3 linked regions of the Pelodiscus sinensis genome follow. The protein of the gene in region 2 binds, or shares a complex with, the protein of the main gene of each other region. Links are inferred from orthologs where the notes say so. Each region holds a gene or a part of one and is shown on either strand. Other genes may lie near its edges.

The links.
Region 1: OGT (region 2) and KANSL2 share a complex: the UniProt entries of both Homo sapiens proteins name them as parts of the NSL complex. The link is inferred for Pelodiscus sinensis from reciprocal best matches to the Homo sapiens genes OGT and KANSL2.
Region 3: OGT (region 2) and KANSL3 share a complex: the UniProt entries of both Homo sapiens proteins name them as parts of the NSL complex. The link is inferred for Pelodiscus sinensis from reciprocal best matches to the Homo sapiens genes OGT and KANSL3.

The regions. Positions count from the first base shown.
Region 1 is NC_134729.1:5,185,668-5,189,412, forward strand, and holds the start of KANSL2 (KAT8 regulatory NSL complex subunit 2), read left to right. Parts: upstream 1-1,471; 5' UTR 1,472-1,603; intron 1,604-2,839; 5' UTR 2,840-2,841; coding exon 2,842-3,092; intron 3,093-3,745. UniProt on the Homo sapiens protein: Non-catalytic component of the NSL histone acetyltransferase complex, a multiprotein complex that mediates histone H4 acetylation at 'Lys-5'- and 'Lys-8' (H4K5ac and H4K8ac) at transcription start sites and promotes transcription initiation.
Region 2 is NW_027466001.1:365,068-368,812, reverse strand, and holds the start of OGT (UDP-N-acetylglucosamine--peptide N-acetylglucosaminyltransferase 110 kDa subunit), read left to right. Parts: upstream 1-1,486; 5' UTR 1,487-1,595; coding exon 1,596-1,632; intron 1,633-3,745. UniProt on the Homo sapiens protein: Catalyzes the transfer of a single N-acetylglucosamine from UDP-GlcNAc to a serine or threonine residue in cytoplasmic and nuclear proteins resulting in their modification with a beta-linked N-acetylglucosamine (O-GlcNAc).
Region 3 is NC_134738.1:5,848,144-5,851,888, forward strand, and holds the start of KANSL3 (KAT8 regulatory NSL complex subunit 3), read left to right. Parts: upstream 1-1,503; 5' UTR 1,504-1,645; intron 1,646-2,275; 5' UTR 2,276-2,348; coding exon 2,349-2,563; intron 2,564-3,745. UniProt on the Homo sapiens protein: Non-catalytic component of the NSL histone acetyltransferase complex, a multiprotein complex that mediates histone H4 acetylation at 'Lys-5'- and 'Lys-8' (H4K5ac and H4K8ac) at transcription start sites and promotes transcription initiation.

The sequences.
Region 1 (3,745 bases), on a different chromosome or scaffold from region 2:
AAGGGGAGCGTTACTGCAAGAGCAACTGGGAAGCAGCATAGCAGCTAAACTTGCTCTATGATGGTCCATCTAGCCAGCATCCTGTCTTCTGACAGTGGACAGTGTTCATTCCAGAGGGAATAAACTGGTCACCCATTCCTAGCTTCTGACAAACAGAAACTAGGGACACCACCCCTGCTCGTCTTGGCTAATAGCCATGGACCTAACCTCCACTTTTTTTTTCTTTTTTTTTTTGGCCTTCACAGCATCCTCAGGCAAGGAGTTCCACAGGCTGACTGTGTTATGTGAAGTGCTTCCTTTGGCTTGTGTTAAACCTGCTACCGGTTTGTCCTTCCAGCCCTGAGTTTAGGCTAGGCAGATCACTGTGGGCAGCAGCAGAATTGAGGCCTAGAGACAGACAGATGCACCCAGAGCCAGGAACTGGATCTGACTTGGCCAAGTCCAGCCTCATTTTCTCTTCCTCTTCAAGAATTACTGTGGCTGTGTCTAGACTGGCCAGTTTTTCTGGAAAATCAGCCGCTTTTCCGGAAAACCTTGCTAGCTGTCTACACTGGCTGCTTGAATTTCCGCAAAAGCACTGACTTCCTACTGTAAGAAATCAGTGCTTCTTGTGGAAATACTATTCTGCTCCCGTTCAGGCAAAAGTCCCTTTTGCTCAAAGCTTTTGCACAAAAAGCTCACACAGCTCAGATTTGTTTTCCGCAAAAAAGCCCCGATCGCGAAAATGGCGATAGGGGCTTTTTTGCGGAAAAGCGTGTCTAGATTGGCACGGACGCTTTTCCGCAAAAAGGGCTTTTGCGGAAAAGCGTCCGTGCCAATCTAGATGCTCTGTTCCGAAAATGCTTTAACGGAAAACTTTTCCGTTAAAAGCATTTCCGGAAAATCATGCCGCTCTAGACGCAGCCTGTGTGTTTAGTGAATGAAAGAGCTCTGGATGCCCAGCTTGGGGACACCACATGCCCCAGGCAGGGGGGGCTGGGCTGTTTCATCACCAGTTTGCCTATGGGTGCTTTTGGGGAGGGGTAATGCCGCAGGATTCCTCTGCTTCAAAATGCACCCCAACCTATAGCCCCATCCCTTCCCCCGCCAGCCCAGCCTCTCCACCTCCATAGCCATCCCCTCCCCACTCCTGACCTGCCCAGCTCTGCCTCCCTCTTCCTTCCCCTCCATAGCCATACCCTCCTGATCAGCCCAGCCCCATCTTCTGCCCTTTGCTTCCTGCCCTACTTCCCCACCACCATCCCCTCCCCTTCCTGCCCCCCCAGCCCAGCCTCTCCTGCCCCGCCCTCCCAACAGTAGTCCTACCCCATGGTCCATACCCCCTCCTCTCTCTCCCCCTGCATTACCCACACCCTCCAGCCCTTCCCCCACTCCTCCCCCTCCCCTCCCCTCCCCTCCCCTCCAGCCCTTCCCCCACTCCTCAGAAGCCTGCTCTCCCCGCCCCCCCTCCCGTCCCTGCAGGGGGCTGGCCTCGGCTCCCGGACTGATGGGTCTCTCCTCCAATGGCCGCGACGGGGCGGCCTCCTTCCCGTTCCTGGATTGGTGGCGAGTCTGGCCAATGGTGCGGCGGGGGCGGGCGCCAGTCGGTCTAGGCGCGGGCGAGGTAAGATGGCGGCGGTGTTTCCTTGCTAGGCCGATGGCGCGGCCCCCCCCCCAGGCAAAATGGCGGCGCTGAGGGGGGAACCTGCGGGGAGTTAGGGGGACCAGCCCGTAGGAGGCAGGGGGCAGAGCCTGGGGGCGGCCTGTGTTCGGGACCGCCTGTGGGGGTGGGGGGAGTCAGAAGCAGCTGGGGGTCAGCCTGTGGGGGGGGAGGGGAGAGCGGCTTGGGGGTCAGCCTGTGGGGGGGGGAGGGGAGAGCGGCTTGGGGGTCAGCCTGTGGGGGGGGAGGGGAGAGCCGCTTGGGGGTCAGCCTGTGGGGGGAGGGGAGAGCGGCTTGGGGGTCAGCTTGTGGGGGGGAGGGGAGGGGAGAGCGGCTTGGGGGTCAGCCTGTGGGGGGGGGAGGGGAGGGGAGAGCGGCTTGGGGGTCAGCCTGTGGGGGAAGCCCATGAGGGGGGCTGGGGAAAGTTGGGGGGGAACCATCCTGTGAGGTCTGCGGTCCAGGGAAGCAGCTGGGGGGGGGGGTCTGCCTCCCCCAGGGCATGTTTCAGATTCACATTCCCAAGTGGGGTTGGAAGCTCTTCAGGGCAGGGACACAGCACAGAGCCCGTGACTCTGGCTGGGGCCTCCCCTTCCTTTCCCGACACCTGTCAGGGCCTTAGGGTGGGGGTGGGATTGTGGCCCCTGAGCCCACGGCAGAATGTGGTGGGTGAGTCTTGGCAAAGGGGTGTCCTAGTTCTCTGTGGCAGGGGTGGGATGCAGGTGACTCTCACCCTGGAAGGGGCTATCTGGAGAACAGACCCTCCCCTTCCATGTTTTTCCTCCTTGCTGAGGAGACAGTCATGGCACAAAAAATGTGCCTGGGTCTGAATGGCAAAGAGTCTGAGTTGGGCCTCTCCCCATCCTCTTCTGTTTTGGGACCTCCACTGCCAGACAGCACAATGTGAATGCAGGGGACGGAAGTGGCAAAGTGACCAGAGATGCCATGAAGCTCCCACCTCCCAATGAAGAGCAGAATAAACCAAGACTGTAGGAAGGATTCCCTCGTCCTATTCTGTCTTGTAGTACTGAGGTGTCTTATTTTGTGCCAGGACACTGTCTGTATAGCACAGGGATTTATACCAACACTTTGACAAATTATTTGGTCCCTTTGATGATGATAACAGAGGCTGATCAGTTGTACTAGCTTGTGGGGTTTGCTCTAGATATAACAATTATCTGTACGTGTCTGTTGCATGTGTAGGCATGAACAGAATCCGGATCCACGTCTTGCCATCAAGTCGGGGGCGTGTTACCCCTGTGCCAAGGCCCCAGGAACCCTTGCCTTGTGCCTTCACACACCGTCAGTGTTCCCAGCCTCGGCTGGAAGGGCAAGAATTCTGCATTAAGCACATCCTAGAAGACCGGAATGCTCCCTTCAAACAGTGCAGCTATGTCTCAACTAAGAATGGGAAGAGGTGTCCAAATGCTGCTCCCAAAACTGAGAAGAAGGACGGGTAGGTGCTGGTAGAATTAAAGTGGCTTGGCAGGAATATCTTGTCATGCGAAGTATCAATCCCATGGCTAAGGCACAATACAAGGAGCCAGGAGTTTTAGTTTTAGTCCTAGTTAGGCTGCTTTCTCATTGTGGGACCTTGAACAAGTCAGTCTGTCTTTAGCCATCTGCAAAGTGGGAGTAATTATCTGATAGAGGAATTAAAAGTTCATTAATGCTTATAAAGTGCTTTGAGATCCTTGGGTGAAAGGGGCTGGAGAATTGTGTAATGTTTGTTTCCTGGTGCTGGCATCACTGCAGATTTTTATCTTCAACAGTCATAGTGTCAGTTTGGAAATAAGTACGCCCTCTGAGATCACAAATATTTGAATCCCCGGAATTTTGAGTGGAGTCCTTGTGAGGTAAAGATGTTCAGCCCTATGCACGTGGGTCATTAAAAATCCTAGTATCAGTTTTTTGTAAGAGGGAGGGCTTGACCTCGTCCCCTCATCTTACTGCTAGGCCATGTGGCTGCCACCTTCATGGCAGAGGTAACTGCATTTCAGTGGTTGTGCGTGTGGTTTGTCAATCATATATTCTTTAATATATTAGGAACTATACAAATGACTGTCAGAGTTGCTTGAATTTATCATTGTGTTGGAGGAAAGAAGTGGA
Region 2 (3,745 bases):
CAAAACTGAGTAAATTTGATTTTTGAACATTTAAAGCATCTGTTTTCTCAGTATTAAAGAGGGCATGGCCCTTCATATTTTCTGAAGTGTTACCCCAAGTATTCAGAAAGTCAGGCCCAAAAGCCTCTATGGATGCTTTCCCTGAAATTCTGCCTACACTAGTTGCTTGAGTTAATGACCTTGAACATCTTATTCACAGGAAGAAATCTTCTGAAGCTCCTTACAGTTTGTTCTAGAAATTGCTAACCCGTCGTCATGCAGGAGGAGTTCAACAGGAATTTCTCTAGGCTTTACTTGTGCTTTAAACTATCTGAGTTCATTTTATTTTTGCTTTAATCTAATTAACAGAAATCATAGAACCATGTAGGAAGTGCTGTAGAGCCTCCTGTTCCTCTGCTGTATAACATATTGGATTAATCCTGAAATTATATCAAGATTTTGTGTATTTTGACTATTTCATTGTAGGATGGTGTTCTGTTTCATTGTCCTTAGATTTTGCAATTACAGGCCTTAGTGCCACTTGTGATTTCATAACCACCTTTGCCAGGTATGGACTTGCTCTTCCTTTTATGGGACAAAAGGGAGAATAGATTGTTCACCATGAAATTTAAAATCGGATGGGTTTAGCTGCTACAGTGAATGCTGATCCTGTTCTGTTCTTTCAAATTCTGTCTTCCTTGGAACAATCCCCTTGGTACATATCTACAAAAGGTAGTTGCCACAACTCCACTCAATTATAAATGATGAATTTCCTGACCTGTGTATCTAACTCCTCAACATGTCACATGATCCATTGCCATAGTGTCAGTAAGTGAAAGAAAGGAACTTGCACGGGGCTAGTGCAGGCATTGAAATACCGTTGTAAGGGCAGCGCGTGTGTAATACTCAGTGGTTACACCTGAAACTCTGCCCCCCCGCCCCCGCCTGCGCAGAGACGTGGTAGGATCCGCCTGCAGCCCCCTCACTGCCGGAGCCCCCCGGCCCCATCGGTCAGGCAGGAGGAGGCTGAGGCAAGAGGCGTGGCCAGCCGCCTCCCAGACACGTATCCCGCATGTAGCAGCTGCCGCGGCGCCCCTCCCTCCGCCTGCTCCTAAGCTCCGCCCCAGGGGCGGGGCTGCATCTCCCCTGGCCTGCTTGAGGCCCCCGGCTCCGAGGTGGCTGCGAGCGCGAGGTAGAAAGGGTGGCGTCGCGTGACGCATGCGCGATGAGCGCTCATTTGTCGCAATGGTCTCCTGCGGAAGGATACGGATCAGATGAGTGACAATTCTCAGTAGGGTTCTACGGCTCACTAATGAGAGAGTGCACCGAAAGGAGGCGAGAGCGCGAGTTAGTTCTAGAAACTCATCTGTCGCAACTGGGTTTGATAACGCCTAGGATTCGATCCCTTTTCCTACGCGGACTATTTTGTGTAAGGAAATAGATCCGGCAGGAGCCATACGCCTGACGGGGTGCTTCCTCCGCCGCTGCCGCCATTTCTGGAGCCGCCGCCTTAGCGAAGAGGGGGAGGTTGGGTCGCTGTGGTCCGGCCGCTGGGTCGCGTCGCCTGGATCTCTCCGCGCCCGGGGGAGCCCCGCCCGCCCGCCCGCGCGCCCCCGATGGCGACCTCTGTGGGGAACGTGGCTGACAGCACAGGTACCGGCCCGCGGGCCGCCCGCGGCGCTGTGGGTGCGGCCGGCGCTGGCGGCTCCGGGCCTGTCCGCGCGGGGTGCCGGCCGGCTGCGGCCGTGGGCTGGCTTGTGCCGCGAGCCGCCCGCGATGAGGCCGCGTCGGGCGCGGCGATGCGGTGCGGGGGGACGTGCCCGAGGCCGCTGGCCGGGCTCAGCCGCCGCCCCGGGGGCTCGCCGCGTCTCTCGCCCCCGCCCGGATGGGCGCCACTCGAGTTTCTTCCGCGCTGTCGCCAGCATCCATCGCCGCTTTGTGGCGGCCACAGCCAGACTGCGAATCGCGCCCAGTCCCGTTGTTTGCCTTTTCTGTTGTCAGCTTCCGCTCTCATCATCGCCTGTAAAGCGGCACCGAGCGCGTGTGGATGCGTGGGAGAGCCGTGATGTAGTTCGCACGTGTGTGAAAAGCGCTAAGAAATGTGCCTTACAAATACTACTTAGGAAATGTCTGGAACCATCTTCCGACCCCATCTCCTTAGTCCCAAATCAGTTTTTCAGATCCTTTTCTGTATTTTCAGGAGTATGCACTAAAGTGAACCTAATACTTTATATCATAAATTGATAGTTTAATGGGAAAATGCTTTTAAAAACTGCTGTTAAGATCAAATCTTTCACAAGAAAAGTAGCTTTATCTTATGTTTTCTATGCTGGTGAGCACTTCATAAAATAACTTCTTGCCACAGGAGGCAATTAAATTATTGTATTTCATCAAGGTATTAAAGTCTGGGATTCTTCAGAAAAATTTCAAATTAGTGTACTTATACTGAACAATATAAATAATTGTTAGAGTTCTTTATGTGCATGAGGGAGATTCTTCCTACAATCTACTATCATTCATTCACTTTCAAAACTAGTTTGACTTGCAGTGGACTCTAGGGAAGGGATTAATTGCAAGAGTACACATTTGTTGAATAAATTGGAATCTATATATATCCATATAAAAGAATAGAGCTCTGATCTAGCTGGCCACCCCAAATCCTCCCAATACTTGCATATAGGACCAGATCCAAAATTTTACCGTTGTTAGTTGACACTAGTGTGCCTGAATTTAATTGGTGGGGAGAAATTGCACATTTTTTGAAAGTTTTGACAAAATGAAGGAAATCTGAGTTTGGATTTTTCTAGCAAGCTGAGGACAGTTGAAACAATCTCCCAAATTTGGAACAGAAGTAAAACATCTCTCATCAACTTCCTTATATCTGTCACCCTCAAAGTCTCTAGCCTTAAGTGCAGTTTTAAGCTTGGAACTTGGATATTTGCTTTTTTGGCAAATTGGGGAGAGGAGAGGTTAGAAATTTGTATTGAAGTATCAAAGCAAACAAGTAAATCAGGTTATTTTGTTTCGCAGTTGTGTATGCCATTTCAGTTTTTCAATCTTGTTTTAAGGGTGAGTAATAGTACGTAGAAATTGATTTCCTCCTTTTAGCTTTTTTTATCTTTATTTCTGGCAATAGAAGAACACTTCAACAGCATAGATTTGGAACAAAAATCAGACACCAGCTATTTGAAAGACTAAAACTTAATCAGAGGTAGCACTAATGGAAACTGGGTACCCAACAGTATGGTCTATAGGTAGTCTTTCGAAGCCCTCCACTAGATCAAGATCCTGGAAATATAGGCAGTCCCTGGGTTACGTACAAGATAGGGACTGTAGGTTTGTACTTAAGTTGAATTTGTACTTAAGTCGGAACTGGTGTCCAGATTCAGCCGCTGCTGAAACTGACCAGCTGCCCACTACAGGAAGCCCGAGGCAGAGTTTCTCTGCCCAGGGCTTCCTGGAATCAGCCGCTGATCAGTTTCAATAGCAGCTGAATCTGGACGCCTGGGACAGAGCAGCTGGGGTGCTGCTGTGTAGGTCCCTGCAGCGCCGCACCTCGGTGCTGCGGGGAGCAACCCGGCAGCACCCCACCTGCTCTACCCCAGGTGTCCCCAAGTCAGCCGCTGCTGAAACTGATCAGCGGCTGATTCCAGGAAGCCCGGGGCAGAGAAACTCTGCCTCGGGCTTCCTGTAGTTGGCTGCTGGTCAGTTTCAGCAGCGGCTGACTTGGGGACGCCTGGGGCGGAGCAACTGGGGTGCTGCTGGG
Region 3 (3,745 bases), on a different chromosome or scaffold from region 2:
AGAGTAAGAGGCTGCTGGGGGACCTATGCAAACACTGAACGCAGGGTGGTGGGTGAAGCTTCTGCTGGGGAGGTGACCTTCCTACCCTCATCTTCTCCCTGTGCCCAACACACATTCGACCCCTTCTCCCCTCCAGGCCACGCCCTCACCCCACTGTCTTCTTCTCTTCCCTCCCACTCCCTGTTCATCCTCTTCCACCCAAATCCCTGAGCCCAAATGAAACAAATGATATCACCCCCCCCCACTCTTCTGCATTGTCTTTCTGAAGAAAATGGAGCGTGTTTTCCATTGCATGCCAGGTGGTGAAGACTGGGCAAGCAGACGGTACCTTACTGAAAGCACTAAACTTGTGAATAAAAAATGTCAGTTACATGTGTTTTGATATACCCTGAGGTTTGTCAGAGGTTTATTTGCAAAAAGTTTGTAGTAAAGGGATTAGTCAGCTGTCCTGCTGAATACAACATGAAATATATTATGGAATACATCATAGATTCCCAAACTGGGGGGCATGCCCCCCCTTGGGGTGTGTGAAGAGATTCCAGGGGGGCGCAAGGCAACCCAGCCCCCCCCGTCAACCTCCCCCCGCCCCTCCCCCAAGAAAGAGCCTGGTCAGTCTGGTAAAAAAAATTCAGAAAATACCATGTGAAATGTCCAGTATTTTCTATTTTTCCTGGCTTGGGTGTCCACTGGAACACACACCTGGAGTATTGGTACCTTTGTTTTTACACAGGTCCTGGGAATCAAAGGGGCCACGACTGTTTTTTGGGCCTGGTCAGTTCCTTTCTTTTTTTTTTGCTCAACAAGTTTTGGGGGGGCAGGTGTGAGGGTTTCTCAAAAATCAAAAAGGGGGTGTGATTCTGAAAAGTTTGGGAACCCCTGGAATACATGATAGAGCTCTTCAGGGTTGTACATTTTCTTAACCAGTGTTTCTAAGCCGATTTATAATTAAAATACACTCTTAACCCTTCATCAAGTAACCATTCCAGAGTGCTACATACAAGAGACCCTCCTGGATGGGATCCCTTCATGGAAGCGCTGTTTGCAGTTGCATGTATTTGTGGGTCTCTCCTATCCCCTGCATTGCACCACATCCCCCGGCTTGGGGGGGGTCGATGCAGCCTCGGTGGGAGCAGGGATCGGGATTCTGCCCCGCACTCACCCTGGCATCGGGGAGGCCCTACCCCAGTATTTGCCTATTTCGCCATCGGCGGTGGTGCCAGGAACACCAGGGTTTCCGGAATTTAACTCACTGAAACCAAGATACTAGTTTAAGTGACTGGGGCTCTGTGCACCCGGAGTTTCATGCACCAGTGTGATCAGGGCACCAGGGCTGGGAGAGAGCTCGGCTCACACGGGGGCACCGGGGCTGGGAGAGAGCTCGGCTCACACGGGGGGGGGGGGCACCAGGGCTGGCCAGCAGGCCCCGTGGCTGCGCTGCGACAAGCCTCCCCCATTCAGCCTTCCTGGCCCAGCTCCGCTCCGCGCGGGGCCGATCCGCTCTCCGGCATGTGTCAGCGCCGCGCGCTCCGCTCCGAGGTCCGGGCTCCGGGGTTTGCGGGAGCGGCGCCTGCGCAGTGCGCGGGGCCGGGCGGGCGGCTGAGGCCTGGTGGAACGGCGAGAGCCTGAGGCGCGGAGCCGGCCCCGGGTGAGCGGAGCGGAGCCCCCCCCCGAACCCTCCCCCAGCGCCCTGCCCCCCCAGGACCCCCCCGGACCTTGCTCCCCCCCCTTGCGGCGCGCCTGGGCGGGGGGCGGGGCAGGGGGTTTGGGGGGCAGGACGGGATTTGGGGGGAGGGGAGCGGGGGGTTTGGAGGGGCAGGGGGGATGGGAGCGGGGGGTTTGGGGGGGCAGGATGGGATTTGGGGGGATGGGAGCGGGGGGCAGGGCAGGGGGCTTGGGGGGGCAGGGTGGGATTTGGGGGGATGGGAGCGGGGGGTTTCGGGGGGCAGGGTGGGGGCAAGGGGTTTGGGGGGGCAGGGTGGGATTTGGGGGGAGGGGAGCGGGGGGTTTGGGGGGGCAGGGTGGGATTTGGGGGGATGGGAGCGGGGGGCAGGGCAGGGGGCTTGGGGGGGCAGGGTGGTGGTGGTGCCAGTTCGTAGCAGGAGGGCCCTGACTGGGGGCATTCTGGGGCTGGAGCAGTTTGCACACACGCTAAGGGGCCCCAGGCTGTCTGGCGAGGTGGGGGTCTGTCCTGTTTTGTGCTTTATTGGGGCTGGGTCAATACAGCAGGGCCCTTTTCCTGCAGCATGTTCACCCTCCCTCTCCTGTCCTGTCCCAGTGCAAGGAGGCCAGGATGAGGAGCCGGAAGAGGCATTTACGTTGGCGCTAGATGCTGGGACGACCCAGAAGACATGACCTACCGAGGCACTGAGCGGGACTTCCAGACTTCAGCCAGGAGGATGGGAACCTCGTTGCTCTTCCAGCTCTCTGTCCATGAGAGAGAGCTAGACCTCGTCTTCTTGGACCATAGCTATGCCAAGCCATGGAGTGCCCACCCTGACGCCAGCAGTGCCCGGCCTGCACGGATGCTTTTCGTCACCCCCAGGAGGCACCAAGACAGCAGCATGTGAGCAAAGCCCTTTCTAGTGCTTCTGAGTTAATTTGCTTTGGATTCACACATATTTTGGATACTCCTTTCCTATGCTCTGATGGCTTTCTTGCTTTCTGTATCTGCTTTCAAGGTGCTTTTCAACACAGTAGGTAACATATTAAAACCCCAGCATAAGAACATAGAATGGCAAGACTGGGTCAGGCCAAAGGTCCTTCTAGCCCAGACAGTGGCCAATGCCAGGTGTCCCAGAGGGAAAGAACAGAGCAGGGAATGATCAAGCTTCTGACACACACTGGCAGAGGACACCATTCCTACCCGTCCTGGCTAATAGCCATCGATGGACCTGTCCTCCACGAATTTATCCAGCTCTTTTTTGAACCCTGTTAAAGTCCTAGCTTTCACAACAGCCTCTGGCAAGGAATTCCACTGGTTTTGTGTTGTATGAAGAAATGTTTCCTTTATTTTAAACTTGCTGCCTATTCATTTCATTGGGTAACCCTGAGTTCTTCTGTTATGAGGAGTAAATAACACTTTCTTCTCTATACCAGTCATGATTTTATAGATCTCTACCATATCTCTCGGTAGTAGTCTCTTTTCCCAAACTGAAGAGACGCAGTCTTCTCTTTGCTCGTGTGGAAGCTGTTCCATACCCCAGTCATTTTTGTTGCTTTTTTTGTACCTTGTCCAATGTCAATATATCTGTTTCAAGATGGGGTGACCACATCTGCATGTCGCTTACCATGAACTTATATAGAGGCATTATGATATTTTCTGTCTTATCTGTCCCTTTCTTGATGATTCCCAACATTCTATTCACTTTTTTGGCTGCTGCTGCACACTGAAGGGATGTTTTCAAAGACGTATGCACAATGACTCCAAGTTCTCTTGAATGATACCAGTTAATTTAGACTCCATTTATGTGCCAAGTTGAGTTTTCCAATATGCATTACTTTACATTTGTCAACATTGAATTTCATCTGTCAGTTCTCTAAACAGGACAATTTGTACCTGACCATGTAAGCTGTAGAAGTTCTCCCCTAGAGGGCAACCTGCTTTGTCTAGAATCAATTTTTAAAGCATTAACACACACTAATTGAGCTGGGTTTGAAGTTTTCAGTTAAATGTCAGATATACTGATATTTCTAAATTGAAACTGTTGCTGTTAGACTTTCCCCTTTTGAAAAAAAAATGAAAACA